Sus scrofa: one gene and its partners. The protein of the gene in region 3 interacts with the protein of the main gene of each other region in a pairwise test. Links are inferred from orthologs where the notes say so. Each region holds a gene or a part of one and is shown on either strand. Other genes may lie near its edges.

Evidence for each region.
Region 1: the proteins of LMNA (region 3) and ZSCAN12 interact in binary tests that used the Homo sapiens proteins (3 or more experiments, as listed by UniProt). The link is inferred for Sus scrofa from reciprocal best matches to the Homo sapiens genes LMNA and ZSCAN12.
Region 2: the proteins of LMNA (region 3) and VAMP4 interact in a two-hybrid assay, tested with the Homo sapiens proteins (2 studies listed by BioGRID and IntAct, with this or other methods). The link is inferred for Sus scrofa from reciprocal best matches to the Homo sapiens genes LMNA and VAMP4.

What each region holds. Positions count from the first base shown.
Region 1 is NC_010449.5:22,194,835-22,205,192, reverse strand, and holds part of ZSCAN12 (zinc finger and SCAN domain-containing protein 12), read left to right. Parts: intron 1-2,320; coding exon 2,321-2,465; intron 2,466-4,699; coding exon 4,700-5,843; coding exon of another isoform or gene 5,844-5,964; exon of another isoform or gene 5,965-6,946; intron 6,947-10,358. UniProt on the Homo sapiens protein: May be involved in transcriptional regulation.
Region 2 is NC_010451.4:114,143,167-114,153,524, forward strand, and holds part of VAMP4 (vesicle-associated membrane protein 4), read right to left. Parts: intron 7,400-10,358; coding exon 7,299-7,399; intron 6,377-7,298; coding exon 6,297-6,376; intron 2,968-6,296; coding exon 2,916-2,967; intron 1-2,915. UniProt on the Homo sapiens protein: Involved in the pathway that functions to remove an inhibitor (probably synaptotagmin-4) of calcium-triggered exocytosis during the maturation of secretory granules.
Region 3 is NC_010446.5:93,919,311-93,930,228, forward strand, and holds the start of LMNA (prelamin-A/C), read right to left. Parts: upstream 6,975-10,918; 5' UTR 6,872-6,974; intron 2,479-6,871; exon of another isoform or gene 1,852-2,478; intron 1,105-1,851; exon of another isoform or gene 1,035-1,104; intron 118-1,034; 5' UTR 1-117.

The DNA of each region.
Region 1 (10,358 bases), on a different chromosome or scaffold from region 3:
AGGTCAGCAGCTGCACCTCCTATTTAGCCCCTAACCTGGGAATTTCCATATGCTGGAGGTATGCTCCCCCCCCCCAAAAAAAAGAAAGAAAAAAAATAGAAAATTAGAAAAGATATGGATGATATTTAAACCATGAGACAATAGGGGATCATCAAGGGATTAATCAGCAGTGGAAGCTGAGGAGTAGCCAGGGAGATCGGAAGAGAAACGAAAGAATGGGATTCTCAGGAGTTCCCTGGTGGCCCAGCGTTTGGGGGATCAGGTGCTGTCACTCCTGTGGTACGAGTCTAATCCCTGGCCCAGGAGAAAAAACAACGGGGTTCTCAGAGGCAAAAGCATTTGGTTTTGACATGTTGAGTATGTTTGGTTTTAGACCTGTTGAGTGTTGCCAAGCACTCCTTTCCCATGAGGCTTGCTGGGGGCACTAATGGAGCTTACTGCTTGACCTATGCAGCCTAGCTAGGGATCCAGAGATAGAAGACAGTTCACTGGACTGCCTGTTTTTCGTGCCTCCCTAACCCAAATTTGAAGTATCAAAACATCTTTTTCTGTACATTTGAGGATAGTATTCTGCTGCCTTTCGCCTCGTATTTTGAGAGATCACAAAATGAAACTGTCAGGGAAATAGAGCCAGTATGTGGTGATTTCTGAGTTATAAAATTTAGCCATTGAAGGGGATGAGGGAAGTAATTTAAGGGCCTGTCATATGCAAGGCCCTATGGAAAGTGCTTTACATATATGATGTATAATCTCAGAGCAAGTAACTCACCCAAGGTCACCGAGCTACTAAACCAAGAAACAGAGAAAGGAATTAGAGTGATTCCAGAGCCCTGCTTTTTATGACAACTGTGCTGGGGAAACCTACTATTTTTAAAGCCAAGCGAGAATGGGCCCGTGGAAGAATGGAAGCTACAGAATGGCTGAAATTGCTGATTGAAGTAGCAAGGGTCAGAGGGAAGCAGAAAGGGATAGGATTTAAGGCAAAAGTAGAGATGTGAACCTCGAAAAAGAAAACACATCTTTCTCTGAGTTAAAAGGGAGGAAGAGTATGAGAGTGGAGATAAAGTGAATAGGAGATGATTTTTGAGGTGATCATGATTTTGGATAAATAAAAAATAAGATCACCTTCCCAGAAAGGAGTGGAGACCTTAGGAACAGCTTCTGGAGAGAATATGGAAGAGATTTCTCTCCTTTTCCTTTCCTCTTTCTTCTTGCTTCTTCTTCTCTGTTTCCTTCCTCTTTCTCCTTTGTTCCCTTCTGCCTTTCTTCACAGTTTCTCTCCAGTATTTCACTTTTCTTATCCCTTTTCCTTATTTCTCACTTGTTTTATTTCCCACTTTTTCCCCCTCCTGTCTCTTTTTACCTTTTTTCTTTCTCTTCTTTCCTTCTCCAATTCTTTGAGCATAGACAAAGAAATGAAGGTGGCACAGCCGACATATTTTACCTATTTAGAGGAGGAGGGAGCTCCTGATGTGGCTCAGTGGTAATGAACTTGACGAGTATCCATGAGGACACGGGTTCCACTCCTGGCCTTGCTCAGTAGGTTAAGAATCTGGTGGTGCTGTGAGCTGTGGTGTAGGTTGCAGGCGAGGCTCAGATCCTGAGTTGCTGTGGTGTAGGCCTGTGCCCACAGCTCTGATTCTACCCCTGGCCTGGGAATTTCCATATACCACACTGGCCCTTTAAAAAAGAAAAAAAAGAATAGTGGGGAGTTGGTCATTCCTCCACCAGGTGGCACAATGACTTAAGAATCTGACTGCATGCAGAGGTTCTGCTCAGTAAGGCCCAGGTTCCATCCCTAGAACTGGAGCAGTGGGTTAAAGGTTCTGGTGTTGCCACAGCTATGGCTCAGATTCAATACCCTGGCCCGGGAACTTCCATGTGCCCAGGTGTGGCCATAAGCTTTTTTAAAAAAGGACTAGGGGGGAGTTCCCGTCGTAGCGCAGTGGTTAACGAATCCGACTAGGAACCATGAGGTTGTGTGTTTGATCCCTGGCCTTGCTCAGTGGGTTAAGGATCTGGCGTTGCAGTGAGCTGTGGTATAGGTTGCAGAGGTGGCTGGGATCCCAGTGTATGCTGCAGGAGTGGCCCAAGAAATGGCAAAAAGACAAAAAAAAAAAAAAAAAAAAAAGGAGTGGGGGGAATTCCAGCTGGGGAAGGGAAGTTAGCCCAGAGGAGGTGATACTTACATTGGCTGACTGATGTCTGCAAAGAAGTTAATTTCAAGTTTCAGTGAGCTGGGTACTGCTGCCATGAATAGCATACTCTTTCGTTTAATGTTATCAGAGTGAGTCTCTCAGCTGTATCTCATTTACCTCAGGTCTCAGTTCACACTGAGGAACAGGAAATGTTCTTGCAGGAGGTGGCACCTCTAGGATCAGAACAAGAACCCGGTATGTCTCTCCCATCCGTGAAAGTCCAGCTAAAGTGTGAATCTCCGGACCTTGAAGCCCAGCAGGAGCAAGGTAAAGAGGAAAGACCCATCTTGGGAGGAAGGGAAGATGCAGCTAACACAGGACACTGGGGCTTTTTTGTACTTCATGCTGTTTCTGATTATCAAAGTCAAGACAGTCTCCAGGAATCTGACAGCTCATGCGTAGACCTCAGGCAGCCTAGGTTGTCATTCTCCAACTCTGTTTTTCTCTTTATATTAATATTTTCCTAATTTCTGGCTGTAATTTTGAGATCACTTAATTTAGTCCTTCTGATATTTTCCTCTGTACTGAGCTTCCTGCTATTTTTAGCCTTTATCCTACCAGATAATACCTCTGTCTTCCAATATTACTGTTTCCTGCCTCCTTCAGTAAATGATAACCTTTGCCCCATAATATCTGTAGTTAATGAATGCTCAGATGGTCTAGGGGAAAAGATATATGTGTGTGTGTATTCTTATGCAGAGAAGGAGTAAAAAAGCAAATGTGATAGAATGTTAAAAGCTGGTGAAGGGATGAAAGACTACATCTTCCTTTGTTCTACTTGCTCTTTTTTTTTTATTTAATTTTTTTAAGTGAATGAAAATTCACATGGTTCAAAACCAAGTTATCCAGTGAAAAGTTTTCTTTCATTCCATTCAATTTCCCTAGCCATTTGATCTCCTATTCCTATTCTGAAATAAGTTGTCACCATTATTAGTTTCTTGTATGTCCTAGAGGTTTCTTTATGCATATGTGTACATTTTTCATATTCAGCTTTATTTTCCTATCACAAAAATTGTAGAATTTTGCCTTTTTTGCTTTATAGCTGCTTAATATTAGAATGTGTGGCTGTACCACACAAAATAACTTAATTCATTCCCCTGCTGATGACATTTAAGGTGGCCCTAGTCTTTTATTATAACAGTGCTCTGTTGAATAGCCATATATGTGAGTATATCTGTAACATAAATTCCTATATGTGGAATTACTAGGTCAAAGTTATATGCATTTGTAATTTGATAGATATTGTCGAAGTGCCCACTATAAAGTTTGGAACAATTTATACTCCCACTGGCAATGTGTGATAATCCATTTCATGAAGACAGCGTTAACATCAAGCTGATGGTAGGAGTTCCTGTTGTGGTACAGCAGAAAGGAATCAGATTAGGGACCATGAGGTTGCGGGTTCGATCCCTGGCCTTGCTCAGTGGGTTAAGGATCTGGCGTTGCTGTGAGCTGTGGTGTAGGTTGCAGACTCGGCTCGGATCCTGGGTTGCTGGGCGTAGGCCAGCAGCTGTAGCTCTGATTCAACCCCTAGCCTGGGAACCTCCATATGCCGTGGGTGCGGCCCTAAAGAGCAAAAAAGTTGATGGCAGGTCTCATGGGTGAAAATTATACTCAATATTTTTTTAATAACATCAATCACAACTATTTTTATTTATTTTTTTCTTTTTTCAGCTGCCCCCCCAGCTTGTGGAAGTTCCCAGGCCAGGGATCAAACCCGCATCCTCATGGATACTAGTCAGGTGCGTTTCCACTGAGCCACAACAGGAACTCGCAATATTGTTTTTAAATTTTCTTTTCACTTGCTGTGAGGTAGAGCATCTTTTCTTGTGTTTAAGAGCTCTTGTATATCCTTTCCCAGAAACCATCAATTTTTTCTTTGTCCAGTTTTCTATTGGATTATTGGTCTTTTCCTTAATAGTTTTTGGAGTGCTTTTCATTAGTCTGTCCTGTATTCTAATGCCATTTTTTTTTTTTTTTTTCCTTTTTGGCTACATCCAAGGCATGTGGAAGTTCCCTGGCCGGGGATTGAACCTGTGCCACAGCAGTGACTCAAGCCATTTCAGTGACGGTCCTGGATCCTTAACCCACTGTGCCACAGTAGAACTCCAGGAACTCTAGGTTCTTAGGCAGTTTTCTTTCTTTCTTTCCTTTTTTGCCTTTTAGGACCACACCTGTGGCATATGGGAGTTCCCAGGCTTGGGGTCATCCCATTGGAGCTGTAGCTGCCGGCCTACACCACAGGCACAGCATCGTGGGATCCAAGCTGTGTCTGTGACCTACACCACAGCTCATAGCAATGCTGGATCCTTAACCCACTGAGCAAGGCCAGGGATCGATCGAGCCCACATCCTCATGGGTATTAGCTGGCTCAACCACCTGAGCCACAATGGGAACTCCTAGGTTCTTAGGTAATTTTTGTTTGAGTAATTTTATGTTACCTGTTGAAGTTGCTGTTTGCTATCATAAAAAACTGGCTAACATTTATGATCCATTTTTAGTTTCAGATGTTGATACTGGAAATGAGTACAGGAATTTAACTCCAAAGCAAGAAGTTTCTGAAGAAATGAAATCATATGGGAATATATCTAGCAAATTTGAAAATGAAATAGCTCAATCTACTGGGTATGAGAAAACTTGTGAACCTCAAGAAAAAACAGAAGAGCCTTCCGGATACTCCAGGGAAGATACATGTCATGAAAATGGAGTAAGTTTGACTGAGAACTCTGACCGTCCTGAACAGCAGAGAGTCTGTCCAGGAGAAAAACTTTATGAGTGTGATGACTGTGGAAAAGCTTTTAGTCAGCACTCACGCCTTCTAGAACATCAGAGGATCCATACTGGAGACAGGCCCTACAAATGCGAAGAATGTGGAAAAACTTTCCGTGGGCGAACTGTGCTTATTCGACACAAGGTAATACACACTGGAGAGAAGCCATACAAATGTAATGAGTGTGGCAAAGCCTTTGGCCGGTGGTCAGCTCTTAATCAGCATCAGAGACTTCATACAGGAGAGAAGCACTACCATTGTAATGAATGTGGCAAAGCCTTTAGTCAGAAAGCAGGCCTTTTTCACCATCTAAAGATCCACACAAGAGACAAACCTTACCATTGCACTCAGTGTAATAAAAGTTTTAGTCGACGTTCAATTCTTACCCAGCATCAAGGAGTTCATACTGGGGCAAAGCCCTATGAGTGCAATGAATGTGGAAAAGCCTTTGTTTATAACTCCTCCCTCGTCTCCCATCAGGAGATCCACCACAAAGAAAAATGCTATCAGTGTAAGGAATGTGGGAAATCCTTCAGTCAGAGTGGCCTTATACAGCATCAGAGAATCCATACTGGGGAGAAACCCTACAAATGTGATGTTTGTGGAAAAGCCTTTATTCAGAGGACAAGTCTTATAGAACATCAGCGAATTCATACTGGAGAGAGACCCTATAAATGTGACACATGTGGAAAGGCTTTCACTCAAAGATCAGTCCTCACAGAACATCAGAGAATCCACACTGGAGAGAGACCCTATAAGTGTGATGAGTGTGGGAATGCCTTCCGAGGAATCACCAGTCTGATCCAACATCAGAGAATCCACACTGGGGAGAAACCCTACCAATGTGATGAATGTGGCAAAGCCTTCAGACAGAGGTCAGATCTTGGTAAACACCAGAGAATCTGTAATAGAGGTGGTCCCTATAAATGGGAAGAGTGTGGGGAGTCGTTCAGGCAGAACTCAGCTCTTACTCAACATCAGACCACTCACAAATGAGAAGAATCTGGTTCTGTGTGATGACTGCAGGCAAGCTAACTCATAGAGTGCAGGCTGGAGAGAGACTAGCTTTGAAATGATTTAGGACAAAACGTTAGTCACTAATTCCATAAGGAAACCTCAGCTACTTTATAAAAAATCCACTATGTGCTTCCCATTTTATTAGTTGCTCTGGAGGTGGAGAACAAGGAGCATAATGCCAGATTCCTTTTCTTAAAGAGTTTACAGTCTAGTTTAAAGATGTATAAGGTCCACCTATTTAGTTAAATGAGACGTAGGACTGAAGAATTGATGTTTGAAGTAGGATAGAATTAAAGTGGCATTTGGCAAACAGTAAGTACTATAAATTCTGAGGGACAGATCACTGTTGCCTGAAACAGTCAGGAAAGATTTTATCGAAAGAGTTCCTGTTGTGGCTCAGCAGGGTTAAGAATCCGACTTTATCCACGAGGATACAGGTCCTGTCCCTGGCCTCTCTCAGTGGGTTAAAGAGCTGGTGTTGCTGCAAGCTGCGGCATAGGTCGCAGATACAGCTCGGATCTGGTTTTGCTGTGGCTGTGGTGTAGACCAGCAGCTGCAGCTCCAATTTGACACCTAGCCTGGGAACTTCCATATGGCGCAGGAGCAATCCTAAAAAGAAAAAGATTTTATTGAAGATAAGAGTTGGATGGGGATATTTGGGAGGCAAAAGGCAGAAAACATTTAGGGCAGAATAAATGTAAACAAAGTGCATGTGGTTTGTAAGCATCCATGACAAGACTAGCCAACCTAAAGTAGAGAGTTCTTTCATTTGGGAAGTTGATGGTGTAAAAGTGTTGTGTGGGAACTCTGGGAGAGTTAGATACCAGTAATTTCACCTAATATTTTGAGACTTAAAGAGCACTTTTTTAATTCCTAAAAATGTTTCTATAAATTATTCTCTGTTTTTAAAAATGAGGGTACCCTCACTAGAAACTCTAAGGAGGAGCCAAGAAAAATTTAAAAATTCATTTGCCGAGGAGTTCCCGTCGTGGCGCAGTGGTTAACGAATCCGACTAAGAACCATGAGGTTGCGGGTTCGATCCCTGCCCTTGCTCAGTGGGTTAAGGATCCGGCGTTGCCATGAGCTGTGGTGTAGGTTGCAGACGCGGCTCGGATCCCCGTTGCTGTGGCTCTGGCGTAGGCTGGCAGCTACAGCTCCGATTGGACCCCTAGCCTGGGAACCTCCATATGCCGCGGGAGCGGCCCAAGAAATAGCAAAAAAAAAAAAGACAAAAAAAAAAAAAAAATTCATTTGCCGAGATGAAAGCTGGGCTAAAGGCATTGAACAGCAGAATGAATAACGCAGAGGAAAAATGAGGATACTCTGCTATGGAGATGGTAACATAGCTACAATATCACACAAAGGAAAAGACCATCAGCTCTTCAGTGCAGGTTTCTGATTTCAAGTTCTGTTCATTACATAGTGATTCCTCAACATCAGTGAACAAAGTCAAAATCACCTGTGGAGCTTGTTTAAAATACCGGAGTCCTACTCACAGATATTATGTGTCATTAGGTCTGGGATGGAGATTAAGAATCTTCATTCGTATGGCTCCATAGTCACCTGATGTACTCTAAAATTTGAGAAGCATCTTTTTAAGTCACTGCTGCCTGTGTGGTTGCCAGTGAAATAAGGAAGCATGAACACAGACCACCACAAATTTTTAGCGTAAGGAAAGCCTTTCAGGGGCCATGTCCACCAGCTCTTTAGAGTGAACAGGGAATTAGCCATCATACTTAAAGACTAGGGCTTTAAGATGGCCTTTCTGTCCCTTCAAATTTAAATGTTTCAAAAAGAGAGACTGACCTACATTCCAAGGCTCCTAAGGGTCTTGTGAGTGCAAGGCCTGTGTGTGCGTGTGTCTGTGTGTGTCTCTCTAGTTAGGGCAGAAGTGCTGGTACTCCCCCCCCACCTCTTTAGTTATCATCGTGTTTTGAATTCCCTAATTATTTCTCTTGAGAAGTGGTTTACAATTTTTTGTTTTGTATACCTTCTTGAACCCATAAAAGAGCCAAAGATTAGTGAGTCTTTCCCTTGGTGCTTCAGGGGAAAAAAAAAAAAACTGGTTGACATTATGTCTGTGTTACTGTGTAAACAGTTCTTTTTTGATGAGAACATGTGATGATTACTGTAGTGGATAATAGGCAAGCCACAAAGAAGTACACATAGCTCCTGGTCTATTTATCTTTTTATTTACAGAAATCCTATTTGATCTCTGCTGAGATAACCTTTTATTTCTTTGCCTTTCTTCCTTGCCACAGCCAACTCCTCAATTTCTAGGACTACGTTCCCACCCTGTCTCACACAACTTCAGTCCCCTTATCACCCCTCACCTTTAGCTGGTCAGTGGGTTCGAAGTGCTGAGACGTGACAGAAGAGGAAGGGGAGAAAAATGAAGGATATCACTATTCTTTTTTTTTTTTTTTTTTGTCTTTTTGCTATTTCTTGGGCCGCTCCCGCGGCATATGGAGGTTCCCAGGCTAGGGGTCCAATCGGAGCTGTAGCCACCGGCCTACGCCAGAGCCACAGCAACACGGGATCCGAGCCACGTCTGCAACCTACACCACAGCTCACGGCAATGCCGGATCGTTAACCCACTGAGCAAGGGCAGGGATCGAACCCGCAACTTCATGGTTCCTAGTCGGATTCGTTAACCACTGCGCCACAATGGGAACTCCGGATATCACTATTCTTTACTCTTAACTACCTTTCTGCCTAGGCCTGTCTATCCCATCTCCCCATCTCTCTAGTACCCCTGTCAGTAACCCCTCTGTCCATAGTCCTTATAAAGGACATAAAAATATCAGCACTGGCTTGGAACCAGAAGAGTCCTTAGTCTTGTAGAAATACATATTTTCCTAGCTTTCTAAGTTATAATTGTGAATACATTTTCCTATAAAAATGATAATGGTATTAGTACTATCATTGAGGCATATTATGTGTTAAATTGGCTTTGGGGATTAGAATGTACATTGACTGTGGGAAAACATTCTGAGTTCACAACATAGGAAAGCAAATGAACATTTGAAAAACAAGTCACAAGTTGAGGACTGTTAATTTAGGCTTTTTCATAAGACCAACATTGGATTGCATGCACAGAGCAATGAGGCAGCTGATTTTTTATATCCGGGAAGGATCCCAAAACTGAGCCTGAGAGCTCTGTAGCCTATGTATATGAGGTCTATTTCCTACCTAAGGTTACCCTGTCTTGAATTTTCCTCTCTCATGTAAATTCTTCTCTTAGGAGGGAACTGGTCTAAATGACAAGACTTTATAAGAACACCTCTTTACCAAACTGATGCTGTCCATACTTGTCATCTAATCTGATTTCACAAATGTGTTTTCCAAACTGCAGTTACTCTACATAGTAACGCCAGAGCCTCTCTTTTTAATCTGACTGCTCAGTGGAATGCAATCCTTATTTTAAACTTGCTGTCTGCTCTCAGTGCTGTTACCCACAGTCTCTCCAGTTCATCTTCTGCCTAACATGTTCCCTCAATGCACATGTGTTCCTCTATTTGCCTCTCTCTTAAGTAATATTATAAAGGAACCATAAACAAAGACCCAGAACAATGGTATGTGCCTATTATATAGAAGAATACAGTTCATAACTTATTTAAAAATAAATGTGGGGGGTTCTAGTTGTTTCCTGGGCTTAAATACAGTTGTAGTAACCGCCCCCCCCCAAAAGAAAGTGGAGTGGCATGGTATTTCCAAGTAGGCATCAAAGGGGATCAAACTAGTTGTCCAAGATAAGGAGAAAATATAAGGCTACTAGCTGGAACTAAATTGGCAACACAGAAGTCAGAGACCTCAAAGAGCAAGTGGAGGACATGACATGAAATTGGGGAGTAGAGTGAACAGACAATGCCTTGTGATGAAGTCAATAGTACACCTATATATATAAAAGAAGTGGTGTGACAGTGACAGAATATAGGAAATCAGGGTCCTTTGAAGCAGCTCATCTTTGTGGCTTTTGAAATCATCAGCAACAGGAGGCAGGATGGAAAGAAAGAAGAAAGTGAAACAAGTCCACGATAGAAGTAATGGCAGTCAGTAATAGTAACAACAGTCAGATGGAGCAACTGGTTTAAAACTCAAGTGAATCATGAACCAGCAGCTTAGAAGTAACATTAAGGATTAGAATAAGATTGACTAGCCTCTCTTTTCTAATTGATTCAAAGTAAACAAGATATTGAGTGTTTAAGGCAAAAAGCATCTGGAGAAGTTGGAGAAGAATCAAATTTCTAAAGCAATGAAAAGTAAAGTGAGCTAAAACATGGGCTTTGGATGAAAGAGAAACCTGATAATCACAGAAGGGTTCCAGAGAGTGTAATAGAAAGGGATTGTGGAGAGAAGAAAGATGGACCCC
Region 2 (10,358 bases), on a different chromosome or scaffold from region 3:
TTGAAATATTTGTTTATATGTTAGGAAAAGACAAAGTATATACAGTAGTTATATTAACAATAGCTCTCTGTGTGGGAAAATAACAGCTCTATTTCATTTTCTTCTTTATGCTATTCAACTTTCCATATGCTCAATTCTTTTTCATCTTGTTGTTTTTTTGTTTTTGTTTTTTGTTTTGTCTTTTGAGGGCCACACCCATGGCATATGGAGGTTCCCAGACTAGGGGTCCAATGGAAGCTGCAGCTGCTAGCCTATGCCACAGCCACAGCAACGTGGGATCTGAGCCACGTTTGTGACCCACACCACAGCTCATGGCAACGTCAGATCCTTAACCCACTGAGTGAAGCCAGGGATCGAACCTGCAACCTCATGGTTCCTGGTTGGATTCGTTTCTGCTGTGCCATGATGGGAACTCCCATATGCTCAATTCTTGATACTTGGAGTAGTTATGTTCTCTAAAGTCACCACAAACACTGAATGAGTGCATAATGAACTAGTGCTCTGAGGGGAAATACAGGGTTAAATTCCTGCAGGCCCTTGGATACATTTTTAAAAACCAATCAATACGTAACCTGGTTTTATATGTTCCTGTTTGAGAAAATCTATTTAATATTTACTGTTGACTCATTAACATTGAACTCATGGCCACACATCACACCTGAGCTTAGCTAATACGTGTATTTCCTCCCCAAGGCACATCACAGCCTTGTGCTTAACCCCACTAGACAGCACTTCAGTAACAGCGAAGTCACCCAGATGCACAAAAAATGTGAGAAACGTGGCATTAAACAGACCCTGAAGGACACCTGTTTACTTTGAGATGAAAGTAGAAGGCAGAGCATGACCTCGTTAGAATTAGCTGGGAACGTGCAGGTCAAAAGACTTAAAGTTTGCACTTCTCTTAATACATCAGCCAATGACTCCGAAAGCACTGGGGTAACTAATCAACGTTAGCTAGTGGAGGAATTAAAAAACACAGAATCCACAAGTGACTTTTCTTCGCAACAAAACCTTTTTTCTGTTTAAAAACAGTATTACCTGGAGTTCCCACCATGGCTCAGCAGGTTAAGGATTCTGTGTTGCCATAGCCGTGGCTCAGATTCAATTCCTGGCCCAGGAACTTCCATGTGTTATGGGTGCAGCCAAAAAAGAAGACTATCACCATGGGATTTTTCAAATGGTTATTCTGAGAGATACTTGCCAAATCTTAAAAAAAAAAATCTCAATAGGAGTTTCCACTGTGGCTCAGTAGATTAAGAAACCAACTGGTGTCTGTGACTTTGCTCAGTGAATTAAGGATCTGGTGGTGGTGTGAGCTGTGGTGTAGGTCGCAGAAGTGGCTCAGATCCTGCATTGCTGTGGCCGTGGTGTAGGCTGGCAGCTGCAGCTCTGATTTGACCCCTTGTCTGGGAACTTCCATAATGCTGCAGGTGTGACCATAAAATGGAAACAAAAACAAAGAAAAAGAAATCTCTGTAAACACAGATAAAGCAGCTTTAGAGAAAAGGAGACATTAAAAGTGATCCAACCAGAGAAAGACGAATGTAATAGCACTTACATGTGGAATCTAAAAAGTAACACAAATGCATCTATAATACAAAACAGAAAGTCTCACAGTCAAGAAAAATTTATCGTTAGCAAAGGAGAAAGGGAGGAGGGGAGGACAGATTAGGAGTATTCGATTAACGGATACAAACTACTATACGTAAAATAGATAACCAACAAGAATTTACTGTATATTATAAGATATTGAATATAGTTCTGTGCTAATCTATAATGGAAAATGTGTGAAAAAATCACTGAGCTGAATCAGTAATCTGATTCTGAATCAGTGCTCTTAATCACTTTGCTATATACCTGAAACTAACACAATATTATAAATTAATTGCAATAAAAATTTTTAAATGATATTTTAAAAAGAATATTAAGGAAAAAAGGGGCAAGAGTTATGCTTTAATGACTGAAATGAAGCTCAAATCTACAATAAAAATTATCATCTGGAGTGAATGGATAAAGAAGATGTGGTACACATGGACAATGGAATACTACCCAGCCAAAACACCCCCAAAATAGTGCTATTTAAAGCAGCCTGGATGGAACTAAAGATTATCATGCTAGTGAAGTCAGTCAGAAGGAGAAAGACAAATATCACATGATACCACTTGTAGAATTTAAAAAATGATACAAAAGAACCTATGTATGAAACAGACTCACAGACTCAGAGAACAAACTTGTGGTTGCCAAGGTGGAGAGGGCTTCGGGAGGGATGGAGTGGGAGGGTGGGGTTAGCAGACGTAAACTATTATATATGAAGGGGATAATCAACAAGATCCTACTACACAGCACAGAGAACTAGATTCAATGTCCTGTGATAAACTATAATGGAAAAGAATATTTTCAAAAAAGACTGCATGTGTACATCTGAGTAACTTTGCTGTATAGCAGAAATTAACACAACACTATCAATCAACTACTTCAAGAAAAAACTATCATCTGGAGAAGTTATCTGGATTTTTCTTCAAACACAATATTGCAAAATTCAATCTGCCATACCTAAACGTTAATAAATGGAAAATGAGTATTTGGTCCTGAGCATAATAGTAAACATATTTGGCCTCAATCACTGAGCCCTGCGTTTTGGGGACTGGGGTTGAGGGTAGGACAGGGGTGCTCTTTGAGTATCTGATGAAAGACATACTTTCTCCCATAAAAATGTACATATGCATATTCACATAAAATTTTACATATTGTTTCCAGAGAGCTATAGATTTAGTTTAAGAGCTCCTGACTGGGTCAGAAGTCATCACTCAATCCTAATATTAGTCATACTAAGTCAACTGAAAATAAAAAGGAAATTTAGGTAAACTTCAAAACAAATGATACCCCCCAAAATTAATAATCCAGTAAATACTTACTGATAATCACTAACAAAAGGATAGCAGCAACCAAAGCCATGATGGCTTTTATCTACAACACACAAAAATGCATAAGAAAGATGAATGTTTGACTTGTTAATAAAGACTGTTGTGCTATTTACCATATTACACTAACTCATCAGTGGACAGGTTCACCCCTTAAAAGGTTTCCAAATTTAGATTCTTCATAAATAACTTCATTTAATAAATAAGTTGCCTAAGAGCACTGTGTGTCAGTTCCCCAGTTAAGAGAGAAAACTTAAGATTAGTCCTTAGCTACTTAACACTTTAGGTTCACATCCTCTCTCTATAAAATTGTCACATTCCTCATTTAATCCTAAAATGCATAAATTATTTCATTTGATTTTCCTGATGAATTCAAATGAAAGCCTGTTTTTATCAAACATTTTCAGAGATAATCGATTCAAGATGGTTCAATCAGAAAAAAGACACCCAATTATTATTAACACAGGAAACAATCTGATGAGTATCACAAACAGCAACTAGGAGTAGCTAATGAAATGTTTCTAAAATAGAACTACTGGAGAAATTTTAGTGCCATTACATTCATGACAAGAACAAAAAACAGATTAAATGGAAGCTTTGCAATTTGAATATCAGGTGCCTATTAAAATTATTATTTATGGTATCCAAAAAGTGTAGAAACAGATTCAGATCAGATGGATAGAGGAGGTACATTTCCCATAGGTGTCTAGGTCCACATTATATTATCAAGTGACAAAGTGATCTTTAGTGACAAAGCGATTCAGAGAATATGTGGAAGACTTGCATTTTTTAAAAAAACTGAAAACATTTCTAAATTTGGAATTGCATAGCAGTTTTTCAACATTACCAAAAAATATATTAATTTGCCCTGTTAATCTGTGCTAGACTTAACATTTAAAAGATTTAGATGGAAATATCAATATTAATTTTAAAACACCTCAGTAAATAAAGTCTCAAACACTGGCCAGGAAATGTTTACAATCAAAAATGCCAGTTACATATTCATGCATGACCAAAGCGCTCTTCTTCCAAAGGACATGGACAAAAATCTGTTTCTCATTAAACATACAAGAGCCTCAGAGCCTCCTAAGATAGTTAAGTGTCAGTGATTCTCCCCACCTGTTGGATAATTTTGTTCACTTATTTTTTTGTCTTGTCTTTTTTAGGGCCGCACCCACAGCATATGGAGGTTCCCAGGCTAGGGATCCAATTGGAGCTGTAGCCGCTAGTCTATGCCACAGCCATAGCAACTCGGGATCCGAGCCACATCGGTAACCTACACCACAGCTCACAGCAATGCCAGATCCTAACCCACTGAGTGAAGCCAGGGATCAAACCCGTGTCCTCATGGATGCTAGTCAGGTTCATTAACCACTGAGCCACCACAGGAACTCCATCATTTATTTTTAAAGTTGGGTTTATTGAACATACTTTACATAGAATAAAATTCACTCTTTTAAAGTTCATTTTGAGGGGAGTTCCCGTCGTGGCTCAGTGGTTAACAAATCTGACTAGGAACCATGAGGCTGCGGGTTCGATCCCTGCCCTTGCTCAGTGGGTTAGGGATCTGGCATTGCTGTGAGCTGTGGTGTAGGTCGAAGAGGCGGCTTGGATCCCCTGCTGCTGTGGCTCTGGTATAGGCCAGCAGCTACAGGTCTGATTAGACCCCTAGCCTGGGAATCTCCATGTGCCGCGGGTGCAGCCCCAGGAAAGAAAAAAAAAAAGTTCATTTTGATGCATTTTGACAAACATGTAATTATCAACCACCACCACCACAGTCAAACAGAAGACTCTTTCATCACTCCAAAAAGTGCTCTCATGCCCTGCTATAGTCAATCTCTACCCCTCCACCTTTAGCCCTGGGCAACCTCTGATCTTTTTCCTGTCCCTATATCACTTTCATTAGCCCTTCCTAAATAAGCATAACTTAATCTGGAATATGGTAGTGATACAGAGACTATTTATAAGTATAAATTAAGGATATAATTCAACTTTTCCCCTTAAAAGTATACTATTTCTTTGATCTGGACCCCATAAAGTATAAAGTGAAAATCTTTAGATATGACCAGGCAAAATGCACATTATTTTATTAATGGGAATATGGGGAGAGAAGGTGAATGGCTCGTGGACCTTTTGTTCTTGCAATCTAGTCTCCACGATAGAAAATTTATTCACTAAAGAAAGTAGAAAATTTAAATTCTAGATGAGAGAATTGTTTCTTTCCCCATGTTCTATTTCTGAAAGTAAGTGAGTTAAACAGATAAACAAAACTGAATAAATCCAAGGCAACTCTTGGAAGAAGTCCTTAGCATATCATCAAGTTTTGAAAATTATTGCTAAACTTGAAAATGAGAGACTAAAAACAATGAGTTATATCTAAGATTTTCAACAAAGCCAAAAATGATACACAGTTCCAGGAGGAAAAAGAAAAGATCTGCTTATATGACATGAAATTTGCTATGAAATCTTAAGAGAAATAGTTTTCTGTTTAATAATTAGTAGCCGTACTTGATTTAAGGAGTAAATTCATTTGTATAAAATGTTTTATAGGAATGTATTAGCATATAAAGATTCCCATTGTTTTCCTTGTTACAAATTTTTCTTTTATATCTTATTTGGAATAACAGGACAGTGGGATTTTTTAAGCTCCATTTGCCATGTGGATTCTGACATATAAACTGGATTTACTTTTTCAACCCTTTTCAAATGAAAATTTTATTTTTCTCAAGTTGCATTCTACCTTTTATTTATTTATTTTTGTCTTTTTAGGGCCACATCCATGGCATATGAAGGTTCCCAGGCTAGGGGTCGAATCACAGCTACAGCTGCTGGCCTATGCTGCCACAACAATGCCAGATCCAAGCCTCATCTGCGACCCACACCACAGCTCACAGCAATGCCAGATCCTTAACCCACTGAGTGAGGCCAGCGATCGAACCTGCATCCTCATGGATACTAGTCAGGTTCATTAACCACCAAGCCATGATGGGAACTCGCAGTCTATGTTTTAAATAACTCTATGTAATGCTATAGGTTGTTCCAAAAAGATACTAATAATAAATTATAATATTTCTTACACGGTAAGTCTAGAGGTAGCTAAATTATTGATAAAATGTGGATTACTCTCTGTGAAGAAATCTACAAAAACATCCTTTTAGGCATTACTTGATTTCTTTAGTTATTTCTGTCTTAAAAGGTATTAATTCAACAAATATTTACTGAGCACCCACTGTGTCCCAGGTTCAGAAGATATACTAAGAAGCAAGACAGTTATAGGACCCGTCCTCACAGAATGTAGAAAGGCCCTTTCTTCTTTATGTCTTTGAGTACCACTGGATATGCAGCAACCTATCCAACATCTTCTGATTTACTTACTTTGCATCCGCGCCACCACATTTGCCTTCGAAGTTGTTTGGATCTGTTGCTAAAAGCTGTTGCATTATCCGATAAGCTTTCTATATCACATAGAGAATGAAGAGAAGGATTAAATGACCTAACAGGCGTCTTTTATATAGTCACACAAAGATAAAAAATATTAATTTCTACTTCTGCAAATCTATTCCCTTTTAAGCACAAAAACAGTATCTTTTCTCTCCTGCACTCACAAACTCTGGCATTCTTTAGTCTAGAAAAAAACCAAAAAGCAAAAAAAAGTGGCTGTAGGTTAGTTTGCTCAATCCACTTTTACAAAAAGAGTAAGAGAAGTCTTCCCAGGGCCTCACCACTTTCAAATAAATTTATGAATTATGGCAGAAAATACTCTTTAGAAATTCAAACACTTGGCACATCTATAGAAAAAAAATTTATACATGGAGAAGGCTAGATGCTTAGAAGATACCAAAAATGAATGATTTTGAAGCAAAACAATATGAATTTTAAAAAGTGGTTAAATAGGTTTTTTGGTTACACAAGTCTACCAAAGATTACTCAGATATTCATTCAGCCATTCGTCATTTAAACAATATGTGAATGCCCAATAAATGCCAGGAATTGTTATAAGTCAAAGACTAACATTAGTGAGTAAAGAAAGGTTGCTAAGCTGCCAGAGAAAGCATATGAGAATAAGTTTAACATAAGTGTTGAAAAGAAGTGATTAGACCTGTCCTTGAGATCAGGAGAAAGGACAGGAACATAATAGGACAAAACAAAAAAAATACTCTTTAACTCTTCAACAATGAACTTTTAATTTTTCCATTCTCAATTGATCGATTAAAGAAATACAACAAGATAATTCAAAGTAAAGGGAACTTAAGTTAAAACATTAAAATCATAAATGCCCTTTTTCCCATGTCAAGATTCCCAAACTTTGGCTAGAAAAGTGGGAGAATTATCAAAACACAGATTAATAATATCAAGAAATATATGAAGAGTCTGTACCTGATTTGTCCTGTAGTTCATCTAGTCTCTCCCCTCTTTCAATTACCTTTGTAATATTTTCTTGCATGACATCAATGACTTCATCCACCTGATTCTGAACACTAGTTTAAAAAAAGATTAAATATAATTTATTTCTCTTCTGTAAATTTTACAACTTTTGATATTTTCATTAGATATGATAGAAAAAGTAAGTTCCCAGAATTATTAAACTCTAAAAAGGTTAAGACTTGTAGCAATGTTCCTTCCATTTGAGTGCTTGAGTACTCAGGCAATTAAAAGATAATATGATATAAATAAAAGCAATATTTAACTTAAAGTTTATTCTTGGCCATTTCTGCAAATTAAATGCACTGTCAGAATGCTCAGTAACTATAGAATTTAGTCAAATAGCTTGACTCTAAGTAATGTTTCATCTTCTTTTCAACAGGCCGTTGAGACACCACATAGACACAGCTATACATGCAGGTCATACACTAAGGCTAATACAAAAACTTGCCCAGGAATGTAAGAAGCCTATAAAAAATATTTAGTTTTCAAAATGGAAAGGTACAATGTGTTCTAGGATACTACACTCATTGGGTACACTCATGGGTTTCCTCTTAAATAGAGTTTAAGACAATAACCACCACTCTGGAAGGTACTGAAGCGCTCATGAAGAAGCAAATAGGAAATATTTTTTTGTTGTTCTTCAAAATGAAAAAATGATTTTCTCCTTTATAGTAGGTGATTAGAGCCTGTTATAACCAAACTTCAGGATGTCCAATGAAGATTTATTCTAAATTCAAAATTTTAATAATTGGTTCTCAGCTGCCTACTCTCTCTCACAAGTTGCCCCTAGAGTACACAAACATAGAAATTTTGAATTATTTAAGTGTCTAGTTGCCATTTGTTGCTTCAATCATTAGACAAAATGTTACCTTAAAATTAGTTTATGAAATAAGTCATGCCAGTGAAATATTTATTTTTTGTGTGGATTTGTATCTTTGTTTCCAGTGAAATATTTAAAAGGAAAAAAATTAAATGAACTCACAGTTCTTACAACTGTCATAATAAAAACTTTAAAATTAAAAACTGTTTAAAGTGGATTACTAGCAACTATATAAATAAATATATATGTTTTAAATAAACTAGAATATGCAATTGTCCTTTCTAGTTGGGGAAGTGTGTCAATTTGTCAATTATCACCTAGGGATTTCATAGTGCACAGCTCCTCATGGCCCTCTATATTACTCCTCCAACTAACCAACTGAGTTGGGGGTGAGGCATGGTCATGTGTAATTTTGAAAGAGTTCTATCCCTTTCCTATCATGAAGCTATATCTTCAAAACCTTTGCTTTAGGAGTTCTCGTCGTGGCGCAGTGGAAACGAATCTGACTAGGAACCATGAGGTTGCAGGTTTGATCCCTGGCTTCACTCAGTGGGTTAAGGACCCAGCATTGCTGTGAGCTGTGGTGTAGGTCAGTCACAGACATGGCTTGGATCTGGCATTGCTGTGGCTGTGGTGGAGGTCGGTAGCTGTAGCTCCTATTAGACCCCTAGCCTGAGAACCTCCATATGCCACAGGTGCGGCCCTAAAAAGACAAAAGATAAAAAACAAAACAAAAAAACCCTTTGCTTTAAAAACAAAATGAAGGCCCATTTAGACAGTTTCAGAACTATTCTCAGATTCAAGAAGCAGTTACTATGTTTGGTGATAGTCACCTCCCTCTTATATTAAAAGCATTATGTACACCCACTGATGATCTGCACATAGACTTCAGGGTTCATCATAGCTTCCTAGAGTTCTGTGCCTCCCACAAAATCTACTACTGAAGTGTATAAAACTGAAGTGTAACCAAGCTAGGAGATGAACTGTCTTCTGCCCAAACAGATCTGAAACAGCCCCTGAATTCCTAAGATATCTTATTGCAACTCCGTGGCAGAGAGCTAAAGATGTAAAATCTTATACAAGAATAATGGGACAGGAGTTCCTGTAGTGGCTCAGTGGTTAAGGAATCCGATTAGGAACCATGAGGTTGCGGGTTCGATCCCTGGCCTCACTCAGTGGGTTAAGGATCCGGCATTGCCATGGGCTGTGGTGTAGGTTGCAGACGCGGCTCAGATCCCGCACTGCTGTGACTCTGGTGTAGGCCGTCGGCTACAGCTCCAATTGGACCCCTAGCCTCGGAACCTCCATATGCTGCAGGTGTGGCCCTGGCAAAGACCAAAAAAAAAAAAAAAAAAAAAAAAAAGAATAATGGGACAAATACTGAAGCAACTAATCAATTTATTCAATAAATAATTTTATATTTTTAAATTTTTTTTTCAGGGCTGCACCTGCGGTGTATGGAGGTGAGGGGAAACAGGAAATAAGCATGTAAATAAATAAATACTTGCACTTAGTGTTAAATGCTAAGGCTCAACAATGCAGAGACTGCCTATTTTCTCACTTTCGTAGCTCCAGTACCTGCAACATTGCTTGGGACAGATATATACTCCATATATAGCTGCTGAATAAGAGAACAATTTGGGTATAAGTCCTGCAAATCATACCCAGCTACTTGAGAAACAAATATGAGGCAGTGAATACAGAAGTCTCCATTTAACTATAATGGAAGCAGAGCTATTGTTCATCAAAGGCCAATCTTGACATTCTCAAGTAGTTATTTTCCATCACATACAAGAGATAATAGCCTAAAGTAAGGCACAGCAGGGTGGAAATGGACAAAATGTACTGCAGCTCCTACACGTGATCAGATACTAGCTATTACAGGTATTAATATATCTATTCTACATGTGATTTTAAAACAAAAGTAGAATAGCTGAAGGAATAATTATGGTCCCAGATCCCTATAAGTAAAGACTACACAATTATAGGCAGATTGATTAGAACAGAACTCATAAAATTCCAAATTCTTACTAGAATATCATAAACCTAGGGGTATTACCTCAATAACATGACACACATGTAATAAATCTTTTAGGCTAATGGGGAGCATCCAGCATCTTAATTTTTCTACCAAGTGATTAATAAAATACTGTTATTTCCTCCTTCACGTATTACTATCCAGTGGTGTAACA
Region 3 (10,918 bases):
GCAGGCGTGGGGATCTGGGCCAGACGCTGTCGTCCTCAGGATCTGGGTTGGCCGGTGTGGATGCGGCGCTCCCGCGAACACTGAGTCACCGGCGCCTGGGCAAAGGCTCTAATAGGTCTAGGGAATGGGAGGAGGGGCCATTGCTCTTAAAGGGGCCGTCTCTAACCCACTGGGGTGAGAGTGGGAGGGGTGAGGACTGCCCGGCGTTGGCGGAGTCGGCGCCCCACCCTCTCTAGCGCACCCCCAGCTGCCTGTGGCTTCGCTGAAGCTCGCGCAGCCAGGTCCCTGCCGGCTTAACTTGTCCCCACTGCCAGTTGACAAGTTGCCAGCTTGTCCCCACTACCTCTGGCCTTTGGGGGGCAGAGGGCAGAGCCAAAGGGTGAGAGTGGGTGGGCAAAGGATAGGGGAGAGAGGTAAAGCTGCCTTAAAGCAAGGGAAGGCGCCAGGTAGGCAGATCCAGGAAGGTGGGGGGAGGGCTGAGGCTGGTGCCCATGGGGTGACTCACTCTTCTTCCACCACAGGCTCCCCCTTTCCTCCCCATAGTAATAGTGAGTCACCCCTCCTCCCCCACCCCCCATGTGGGCAGCCCATTCAAAGCTGCATCTCAGTATGCCAGGGTAGGGTGGGGAAGGAAAGCCTGTGTTCCCTGGGGTGGTTGCAGGGAGGGCTACAGCAAAGTTCTGGATCCTGAGTTCCTTTTTACACCCTCAAATTTGGAGGTAGAGACCAGGAGTTTGGGGTCACTCTTTTCCTATCTCCTGCCCCAGTTTAATCTCCCTCCAAGGCTAACCATTGGGTTGTAGACCCGAGGAATAAGCCGCAAACCCCAGAGATGGCCAAGCATATGACCCAGGCACTGCCTCCCTTCCCCTGCTCCCTTCCTCTGGACCCAGGCAACTGGAGAAAGAGACTGCCTAGGTTTCTTCCCACTTCAGTCCCTTTCTGCTCCTCACCCCACCCCGCCAACTCCAGGACTGTACTTTTTTTTTTTTCCAAGACTGTACTTATTTTAATGGATAATTTAAAACAGATACCAGAGCTGTGCATGCATTCATCACACTGCCAGGACACCAGGTTCCAGATTTTTGTGGTTCCCAGAGGGGCCTGAAAGGGGGAGCAGAGCAGGGTGCTGGACAACCAATGCTGGGTCTCCATCCTGCTTTCAGCCAGACACGGGGTTAGGGGGTGGGGGAGCAGGTAGGGACAGCAAAGATTCCCACAACCTCGCTGGCTGCGGGGCCAGCACTGCACTTATCTCTACATTCCTCTCTGGCCAGGTCTGCTTTGCAACTGGCTCTGGGGAGAGGCCAGGCCCTCTCACAAAACAGGATCACCCAAGTTCCCAGGCTTCCCCACCCCAGGCTCTGGAGCTTCTTCCATCCTCAGGACTCACCAAGGAACCCCCCACACACACACTTTGATCAGCCTTCTACTCCCCTCCCCTGATCCTGGCCCTACCAACCATCTCATCCTAAGAGGTGGCAGTGGCTCAGGCTCCCGAACCCATGCACTTTCCTGCCCTGCCCCTGTGCCTCCCACAGCTGATTCTCTGATGAGGAACCTGGGAAATTAAATTATGTTGCTAACTCCTTATAGCTCCAGGATAAACAAGGGAAGCTGAGCTGGACAGGTCCTCTGTTCTGGGTTCTGAAGCTGGCCTCAGAGAGACAAGGGACTGGAGTGGGATGAAGGCAGGACTCAGAGTGTTGGGGGGGGGGATGCTTAGGTTTCCATGGGGGGGGGCTACTGGGCTGTATAGTGAGTATCCAGGAGGCACCCAGTTGAGGGGACCTGAGATAGGGCTTCCCCTCCCTGTAGCCCTCTCCCCGAGGGCGAGGGCGTGGTACCCACCTTCAGTTTCCCAGACAAAACAAAAAGTCTCGTTCTGCTTCTCCCTCTTGTGTTCCCCAAACCAGAAGCAGAGGCGGGGTGGGTGAGCCAGTGAAACATGAGGGACACTGGCTGTTCCCACTGCCTCAGCCCCCCTTCCAGCACGCCCTCTGCCCCACCCAGTCCCTGCCTGGCCAGGCTTCCCCTCCTGGCTGGGGAAGCAAAACCACACTTAACCCTTCCTATCCCGGACCTCCCCATCTTTGGAGAAAAGAGGCAGGAGAAAGGAGGGGGGATCTTACCCTAAATTTCACTTTAGGTTGTTTCCAAAGGGTGCCCCCACCACTACCACCACCATGGCCTCAATCCTAAACCTGAACTTCAAAGTGGGCCTTTATCTTGAATATTCAATCCTAACTCTGAATCCCAAAGATTCCTCTGCCTTCCTCCTGCCAGGGTGTAGATCACCAGTCCCTGAAGAAGCAGGAGAGAGCAGGGAAGGCAGGTTCAGAGGACACGAGGACACCAGCCTCCTGGGGGTGAGGATGGTGGGAGTTGTGACTGGGTGGAGACCAGGTTCCAATCCTGCCTCTCACTTACTATGTAGTGACAGATCTGCTACTGAATGCTCTGGGCCTCATCTGTCTCATGTCTTATCGAAGACATGGGGGTTGGGCTACTATGTTTGCTCTCAAGGGAGGTGCCCACTGGTAGGGAAAAGAGGGTGAGGGGGGGTGGAAAAATCAAGCACAGGTGGTTTAAAGGGCAGCATAGAACCCTGAACTGGAAAATGAATTCCAAATGGATTCCAGAAGTGTGGGAGCTGGAACATTAATAAGTGATATCAGAAAATAGTGGTTGAGTCCAAGGGGTGGTTTGGAGTCAGGGCCCTACTCTGTTTCCATAGCATCCTGGGCCTCCCCCTATGACCCTTCCTCCCAAAAGTGCTATGAAGGACAGGAGGGACCAGGGCCTGGCTATCTGTGTCCCTAACACCTGGCCCAGTGCCTGGCATACAGGAGGTGCTCAGTGTGTCTTAAATGAACAAATGTATTTGGCCTTGCCATTTTTGGGGTGAGTGATTTTGGGTGAGTTTTCCCCTTTCACTCAACCTCAGTTTCCTTGTGTATAAAATGGGGATGCTGCAACAATTAAGTAACATGCATTTTTGTGTTTTTTTAATTTTCTTTTCTTTTTTTTTTTTTTTTTTTTTTTTTTTTGCTGCGCCAGGACACTTGAAGTTCCTGGGCCAGGGATCAGAACCGAGCCACAGTTGTAACCAAGAGCTGTGGCAACACTGGATCCTTAACCCACCATGCCAGACTGGATTGAACCTGTGTCCCAGCACTGCAGAGACACCAGCAGATCCCGCTGTACCACAGCAAGAACACCAATTAACATGCATTTAAAGGGAGGCTTCTTGGAGTTCCCATCGTGGCTCAGTGGTTAGCAAATCAGACTGGGAACCATGAGGTTGCAAGTTCGATCCCTGGCCTCACTCAGTGGGTTAAGCATCCAGTATTGCCATGAGCTGCGGTGTAGGTTGCCGATTCGACTCGGATCCCGAGTTCTATGGCTCTGGTGTAGGCCAGCAGCTGCAGCTCTGATTAGACCCCTAGCCTGGGAACCTCCATATGCTGCGGGAGCAGCCCTAGAAATGGCAAACAAGCACACACACACACACACACACACACACACACACACGCAAACACACAAAGAAATAAAGGGAAGCTTCTTGCATTCCCTGGTGGCCTAGGAGTAAAGGATCCTAGTGGCATTGTCACTGTTGTAGCACAGGTTCAATCCCTGCCCTTGGAATTTCCACATGCTGTTGATGTGGCAGGAAAGAAAGGAAAAAAGGAAGGTAGGTAGGTTTTTTGGAGGAGGTAGGTTTAAGAGTTTACAGGAGAATTCACTCATCCAACAAACATTTATTGGACACCTGCTGTATATGAGGCACTGCTCTACTCACTAGGTATACAGCAGTAACTCATGGAGCTGACATCCTAGTGGAGGGAGATGGTCCATAAATAAAAGACAAAATTTATAATCTGTTAGAAGATGGTGAGGGCTATGAAAATAAAATGGGACAATGCTTGGAGTTCCCGTTGTGGCGCAGTGGTTAACGAATCCAACTAGGAACCATGAGGTTGCAGGTTCAATCCCTGGCCTTGTTCAGTGGGTTAAGGATCCGGCGTTGCCATGAGCTGTGGTGCAGGTTGCAGACGCAGCTCAGATCCCACATTGCTGTGGCCCTGGCGTAGGCTGGTGGCTACAGCTCCAATTCGACCCCTAGCCTGGGACCCACCATAGGGAGCAGCCCTAGGAAAGGCAAAAAAAGACAAAAAAAAAAAAAAGGGACAATGCTCAATAAACTGGGTGACTTATACCTTGATGCTCTTTACAGCTGCAAGTTTTCACATACATTCTCATCTTGGTTCCCAAACCACCTCATAGACTGGAGAACATGTCCCTGTTTTACAGCTGAGGCTGACATTCCCAAAACCAGACAGTAAGCGAGAGGCCAAGCTCAGAACTCGGACCAGGCTGCCTGCTCCAGGACTTCTTCACTATCTTATGCCACTTTGTCAGGACACGTGGGAGGAGCGGGGGTGGACTGGTGCTGGGGGAGGAAGTCTGTGCAGAGGTTGTGAGGCGGGAAAGAGCTGAGGGTGCACAGCTGAGCTGAGCAGGGAGACACTGGAGGTGAGGCAGGAGGAGAGGCAGGATGGGAGAAGGGGGAGATGGAGGCAGCCTCCTGCCTGGTTTGGGGACGGGGGTCTGAGGGAAAGGATTCTGGCTGCTCAATAAGGAGAGGAGGGAGGCATTGAGACCAGCGAGGAAGGAGTCAGAGGCACAGGCCTTGGCAAGAGGCAAGCTAAACGGAGCGGGCTCAGCAGAAGGGTGCAGCCAGGAGGGATTCCAGAGGCATTCTAATAATGATTTGTGTAGGGAGGATGTGTGGAGTAACTACTATTATTAGACACTAGGTATTTGCGTGACTTTGTTGAACCTATGCAATAGATCTATAAGGTAAACACTACTATTAGTCCTATTTTACAGATGGGGACACTGAAGTCTAAGGAGGTTAAATTATTCATCTAAGGCAGGGTTTCTCAAAGCTGGCACTCTTGACATTTTAGGCCAGATAATTCTTTGCTGTGAGGGGTGGGTCTAAGCATATGGGATGTTTTGCTGTATCCCTAGCCCTCTGCCCCCAGTTATGACAATCAAAAATGTCTTCAGAAGGTGCCAAATGTCTCCTGTGGGGCAAAATCACATCCAGTTGAGAAACACTTGTATAAGGTCATATGATTAGTAGCAGAACTGGGATTGTGATACAGGTGGGCCTGCTCTGAAAGCCAAGCACTTAGCTGTCAGGCTGTAATTCTGGACAGGTAGGAGTGGGAGAGAGGAGGATTCCAGTGGGACCTAGGCCATTGGGAGACAGTTATACGCCCCCACAGGGGTGGGAAGGGGTGACTCTTTGGGAGAGGGTCTAGGAAATAGGGGGTGATTTGGAGAGTCAAGGCTATGGTTTGGGAATCCCTTTATAATGTTTCTGGGTTGGTTTTTTTTTTTTTTTTTTTTGTCTTTTTAGGGCAACAGCCACAGCATATGGAGGTTCCCAGGCTAGGGGTCCTATTGGAGCTGTAGCTGCTGGCCTACACCACAGCCACAGCCATGCCAGATCTGAGCCACGTCTGCAACCTGCACCACAGCTCACAGCAGCGATGGATTACCTTAACCCACTGAGCGAAGCCAGGGATCAAACTTGCATCCCTATGGATACTAGTCAGGTTTGTTTCCCCTGAGCCACAACAGGAACTCCCTAGAGTGCTTGGAGGGAGGGTCCCTGTCTTATTCATTCTTTGATCACAGGGTCAAGTACTAAACACCTGTTGAACTGCTGAGTCACTCCTGCACAGGTGGTATGGAAGGACCTGGCTGTTCTTTAAGTAGCTGCCACATACCAGGCACTGGGCTAGGGGCCATGTGGGGCTGATCCCACTTCATCTTGACTTCAGCCTTATGAGGAAGGTATTATTATCTGCATTTTATATACCAAAAACCCAAACTCCGAGAAGTTGACTAATTGACCTAAGATAGTCCAGCTGAGTAACTGCCTTCTTCCCATCCGGACCCAGCTAGATGGAATGATGCAGGCTTAGAACAATTAGCTTGGCTTAGTTTAGCTGGGAAGGCCCTCAGAAGGAGCGTGTTTGATGGCCTTTTGTAAAGCCAGTGAACCCCTCATTTGAATGAAATTTCACCCCAAAAGCCCAATATACTAAATGACAGAGGCAGAGTCTCTCTAGCAGGGAAGTTTAGGGACCCCTGCCTGGTGATCCTTTGCCCCTCCCCTAAGAGGCCCCCAGGGCTCTGAGAATTAAACCCCTCTCTTTACAAAGTGGGCTTCTCAGGCTGGAGAAGCTAAGATTTGCCCAAACACAGCCAGAAACCCCCAAATAGTACTCGGACCCTATTTCACACTACTGTAGGAGACAGGACATCACTCTGGACATACTGGAAGGGGCTAATCGACCTCAAGGGATGGGCATTATCGCTACCATGATGAGGCAGGGGTTGCAGGGGTCAGTGTAGGGCTGGCTATCTTCCCTGGGTGCTCCAGCCAGGCCAGACAGGGCCGCTAGATAATGAGCACAGAACCAACCCTTTACACTTCACATTTGGCTGGGCAGGTCTCCCAGGTGTCATCTTTTCACAATCCAGATTACTACCTTAACCCTCTCAAACCTCTCTGAGATGCACAAAGCAAACACCATGATGCCCATTATACAGATACGGAGATTGAGACTTGGGCCAGGTTAACTGATATGCTCCAGGCCACACAACAAGAGACAGAAGCAGGTCCCAAACTCCAGGGATTTGCCTCCAGGTTAACTACATCCCACCTCCCTTCAGTCCAGACCCCAAAGGAGCTCCATCCAACAGCAAAATCCGAGAGTCTGCCCAGGAGTCCCTGCCCGACATTCCAAACCCCATCCCCCACTCAAATGGGCCCAGAGAGCCGCCCCACCTGTGAGCCTCAGGCTTCCTGGAACCGTCACAATACACACCAAAATACTGCCACGGTACACACCAGACAAGAGCCAAAGAGGAATTCCGCAGTGACTTCGTCCTCTCTGCTCCCTATCTCCCAGCTTTGGCCCCGCCCCACCTGGTGAGGGTGGGGGAGGGGAGGTAGACGTAGGAAGGGGCGGGGCCCCGGAGACGTGGGCGGAGCCAAGGGGACGGGGCTTGTTCCCTCCAGGGCAGATCGGTTCGGGCTGGTAGGGCGACTCCGGACTCCGGCGGGGTGGTTCCTCTCCCGCCCCCCCGCCCCCGCCGCCCGGAGGCGGGCAGTGCTGACGGCTGGTTCTGACGCAGGCGCCTGCGTGTGGGCGGCTGCCTGTGAGTCTGTGTGTGTCTGTGTGTGTGTGGTTGCCGGGGCCTCCCGGGTCTCCTAAATGGGGGTTTCCTCTCCCTGTTGCCAAGGAAACAAACAGAAGCGCCACAACTCCAGAACTGGGGCCGGCGAAAAGGGTCCCCAAGCCCTAGGCGCCGAGAGGCTTCCAGGAAGTGAGGCAGAAAAGGATCCCTGTTTCCCCCCCCACCCCCAGTCCAGGTGCTGAGCAAACGTTACCCAATGTGGGGCCTGAAACTAGTGGCCACCTGTCCTGTTTGCAGAGCACTGAGGAGTTTCCTAGGACAAGGGCCTTGCAGTGCTCAAACCCGAACAGTTCCTGGCAAAACCGGACAGTTGGTCTTCCTAAGTGTCCATCCAATTTTTGTGGGGAGGCTCTATCTTAAAAATATGAGAATATCTTTTACAGATTTCACACAGATAAGTGAACACGTGGAAACCTGGTCAGGCTCCTCTAAGGGTCTTGGGAAGGCCTGTGCCACTGTGGATCCCTGAGCTTCACCTTGCTTAGCCTCACCATAAAACCAACCTGGGTTCCCAGCCCCTGCAGCCCCTAAGTTCCTCAGGGTCCCCTTCCAAGGCTAGCCCTTGGCACTCACCCCAGGGAGGTCAACTGGGAAAGCAAATTCTCCCCGGGGAGGATGGTGGTTAATCTGCAGGAGATTTCCTGATGGGGGAACAGATCAAAGGGCACTTCTGGATTAGTGGCGGCCACGTGTGGCAGGTGGATGGGCAGGGCCTTGGCCAAGGTCAGGAGCTCCTGGAGGGAGACTCCATGGGATGGAAGGGACTGCCTTGGGCCAGTGCTTCATCAGTCATTGCTTAGAAGCCAGAACTTCAGAGCTGGGAGGAGTCTAAGGACATCATGCAAGCCAACCCCCTCCTTTCTAGACCTGCCTTGATCCAGCTCCCCAGATTCCCCTGTCCCACTATCCCTATGCCAGCCCACAGGCTAGCCCCAGAGTAACACCCCAATTGCCCTCTTTGTCTAGTAAATCCAAAGCTTACAGGGCTCCCTGAGAGCCCACTTCACTTTGGCCCTTGACCCCTGAGTGGCAGGTAATGGGGGAGCCACTGGAGCAGCGGTAGGGCAGCAGGGACCTGGCTGGGAGGGACAGGATGCACGAGTGGCCTGAGGCTGGTGTGCTCTCAGGCTGCCCAGGGAGGGGCCAAGAGGGCATCTGTTTCCTCTTGGCCATGATTCCCTCAATCCCATCCCCAAAGGAGGTGAAAATGGGGCTGGCTTCCTGAAGCGGAGCTTCCTGGCCTTGGCGGGGAGGATGGATGGGACGTCCTCAAAACATCCCGCATGCCCTCTCCTCTCCCTGCCTGGAGCTCGGCACAGCTGAACTAAGGCTTCGGGGTGGGGGCAGAGAGGTGAGGTCTGGGGTTCAGTGAGCACAGCGATGTACCAGAAGCCACAGTCAGGCTCAACTCCCAGGGGGTGCGGGGGGCGGGGGAGGGTAGAGGCAGGGGACTGGTCTGGCTCAGAGGGGGGGCTTCACTCAGGTACTTTAGTGGAGGATGCATGAGAGAGAGTTGATCACAGAGGGCAAATGGGGATGAAGGGAGAGATAAGAGTGGGTAGAGGAGTTCCCGTCATGGCGCAGTGGCTAACGAATCCGACTAGGAACCATGAGGTGGCGGGTTCGGTCCCTGCCCTTGCTCAGTGGGTTAACGATCCGGCGTTGCCGTGAGCTGTGGTGTAGATTGCAGACGCGGCTCGGATCCTGAGTTGCTGTGGCTCTGGCGTAGGCTGGTGGCTACAGCTCTGATTCGACCCCTAGCCTGGGAACCTCCATATGCCGCGGGAGTGGCTCACGTAAAGGCAAAAAGACCAAACAAAACAAAACAAAACAAAAAAAAGAGTGGGTAGAGGGAGGAGGTTGGAGAGAAAGTCTACTATGAGGGAGAAAGAACTGAGCTTTGAGGTAACTGGGGGGAGTCCGGACCAGGGGATCCAGGAGCAGAGAGCTGGGCAGAGGGGAGGCACAGGAATTGAGGAGAGGGGCAGCTGCCTGGGGCTGACACCAGCAATCCAGCCCCAGCTCCTGGTGGGGCAAATATTTACCCAGCAACAGTTGCTAAGCAAGGAGGAAGGAGGAGGGAGACCAGTAGCTAGAAGGCTTTCCAGACTCCTCCCTCATAAAAGACAAAAAAAAAAAAAAAAAAAAAAAAAAAAAGGGTGAGCCATTATGTTCTCCTCAGCCCTTCACCCCCACCGAGCAGGCTCCTCGCACACATATCTGTGGGGTCACCCCTCCTACTTCCCCCCCACCCCCACCCCAGGCCAACCCAAGCTCATAGCAGGACAGAAGGTTGGGCTAGGGAAAACTTAATCCCCAGGCAACCAGGACTTCCCCCTACCCTGGGACAGCTCTGGGGGCTCAAACCTTGCAAAATTCCTCCTTCCCAATCTGCTGTTCAAGGGGGGGCTGGAGAGGGGGGCAGGTCCAAGAAGTCAGGATACGGTGAGGGAGGGGGTGCTGAAGGACCCAGTCAAGATGTCCAGGGGATGAAGGCTGGAAGAGAGGATGAGGAGACTGAAAGGAAGGGAAGGGGTGACTATGTTAGAGGCTGTGAAAGGGCAGGCGGTGTGGTGGAGGTGGGGGGTGGGGTGGGGGGGGTGGCTGATGGACCCAAAGAAGTGAAGTTCTCATGGGTCCTTCCGGTTCTGGCCTCTGGGCAGAGGAGGAGAAGGGACAAAGGAGGGGAGGGTGTGCTCAAGTGGAGCCAGATGTGGCCCATGTGATGTGGGCTGTCGCTGGCATGGGCACAGTGGGGGCAGGATGTTCAACAACTACCAGGAAAAATTAGTCAGAAGCTGGGAGGGGACAGCTAGTCCAGGACCCCCGAGGCAGCAGAGGGAGCTTTGGGGGAGGGTAGAAGGGCTCAGGGCTCCCCCCCACCATCACCCTCAGGATTCCCACCCATTTTCTTGGCTGAGCCTGGGTTCCCACAGGCAGATTGGACATCCTGATGCTTCCCAGGGCAGATGCCGGGAGCTCAGCTCAGAGCCCGGCACACAAGAGGCGTTTTGTTCCTTACCCACCTCCTCAGGATGAGGTCTCTGCTCTGCAGGGCTGCTCCCTGGGGGCCAGGGGGTTCTCCCCCTCAACCACAGGCACTCCGGAAACTGGGGTGCAGAAATGGGAGGGAAGGGCACAAAGAAGAAGCTGCCTTGGCAGAGAAGAGAGTCCTGGAACCTGGCCTCCCTGGTGCTGCCAGAGGTGCTCGAGGGTCGAAGCGTTGGTCAGAGTGGCTGCAGGCCCCATGGGTCCACCCTGAAATGGAGGCAGACAGAGGAGCCATCACTGTGACACAACACCAGAGGCAACGCCGAAGCGCCACCCCAGGAGGGACCTCCCTTAGCCCAGACGCAGCATGAGCCAGCCTGGAGGGAGAAGGGCTAGGGGACCCCAGGAAATAAAGCAGACCTGAAGGGTGGGTCGGGGTGCAGCCCTGGAGAAAGCAACCCCAGGGACCCTTGGAGAGCCAGGTCCAAGCTGGCAACCAACCGAAAGGGGGTTGCTTTCCAAGCTCCCATTGGAAAGTTTGAAAAATACACATGGAAGCATGACTCACTGCCCCCTCCCCACGGCCCCCCTTTCCTGGTTTCTATGCTTTTTCTCCCAAGAGTTAATTCAAATCACATTCTCA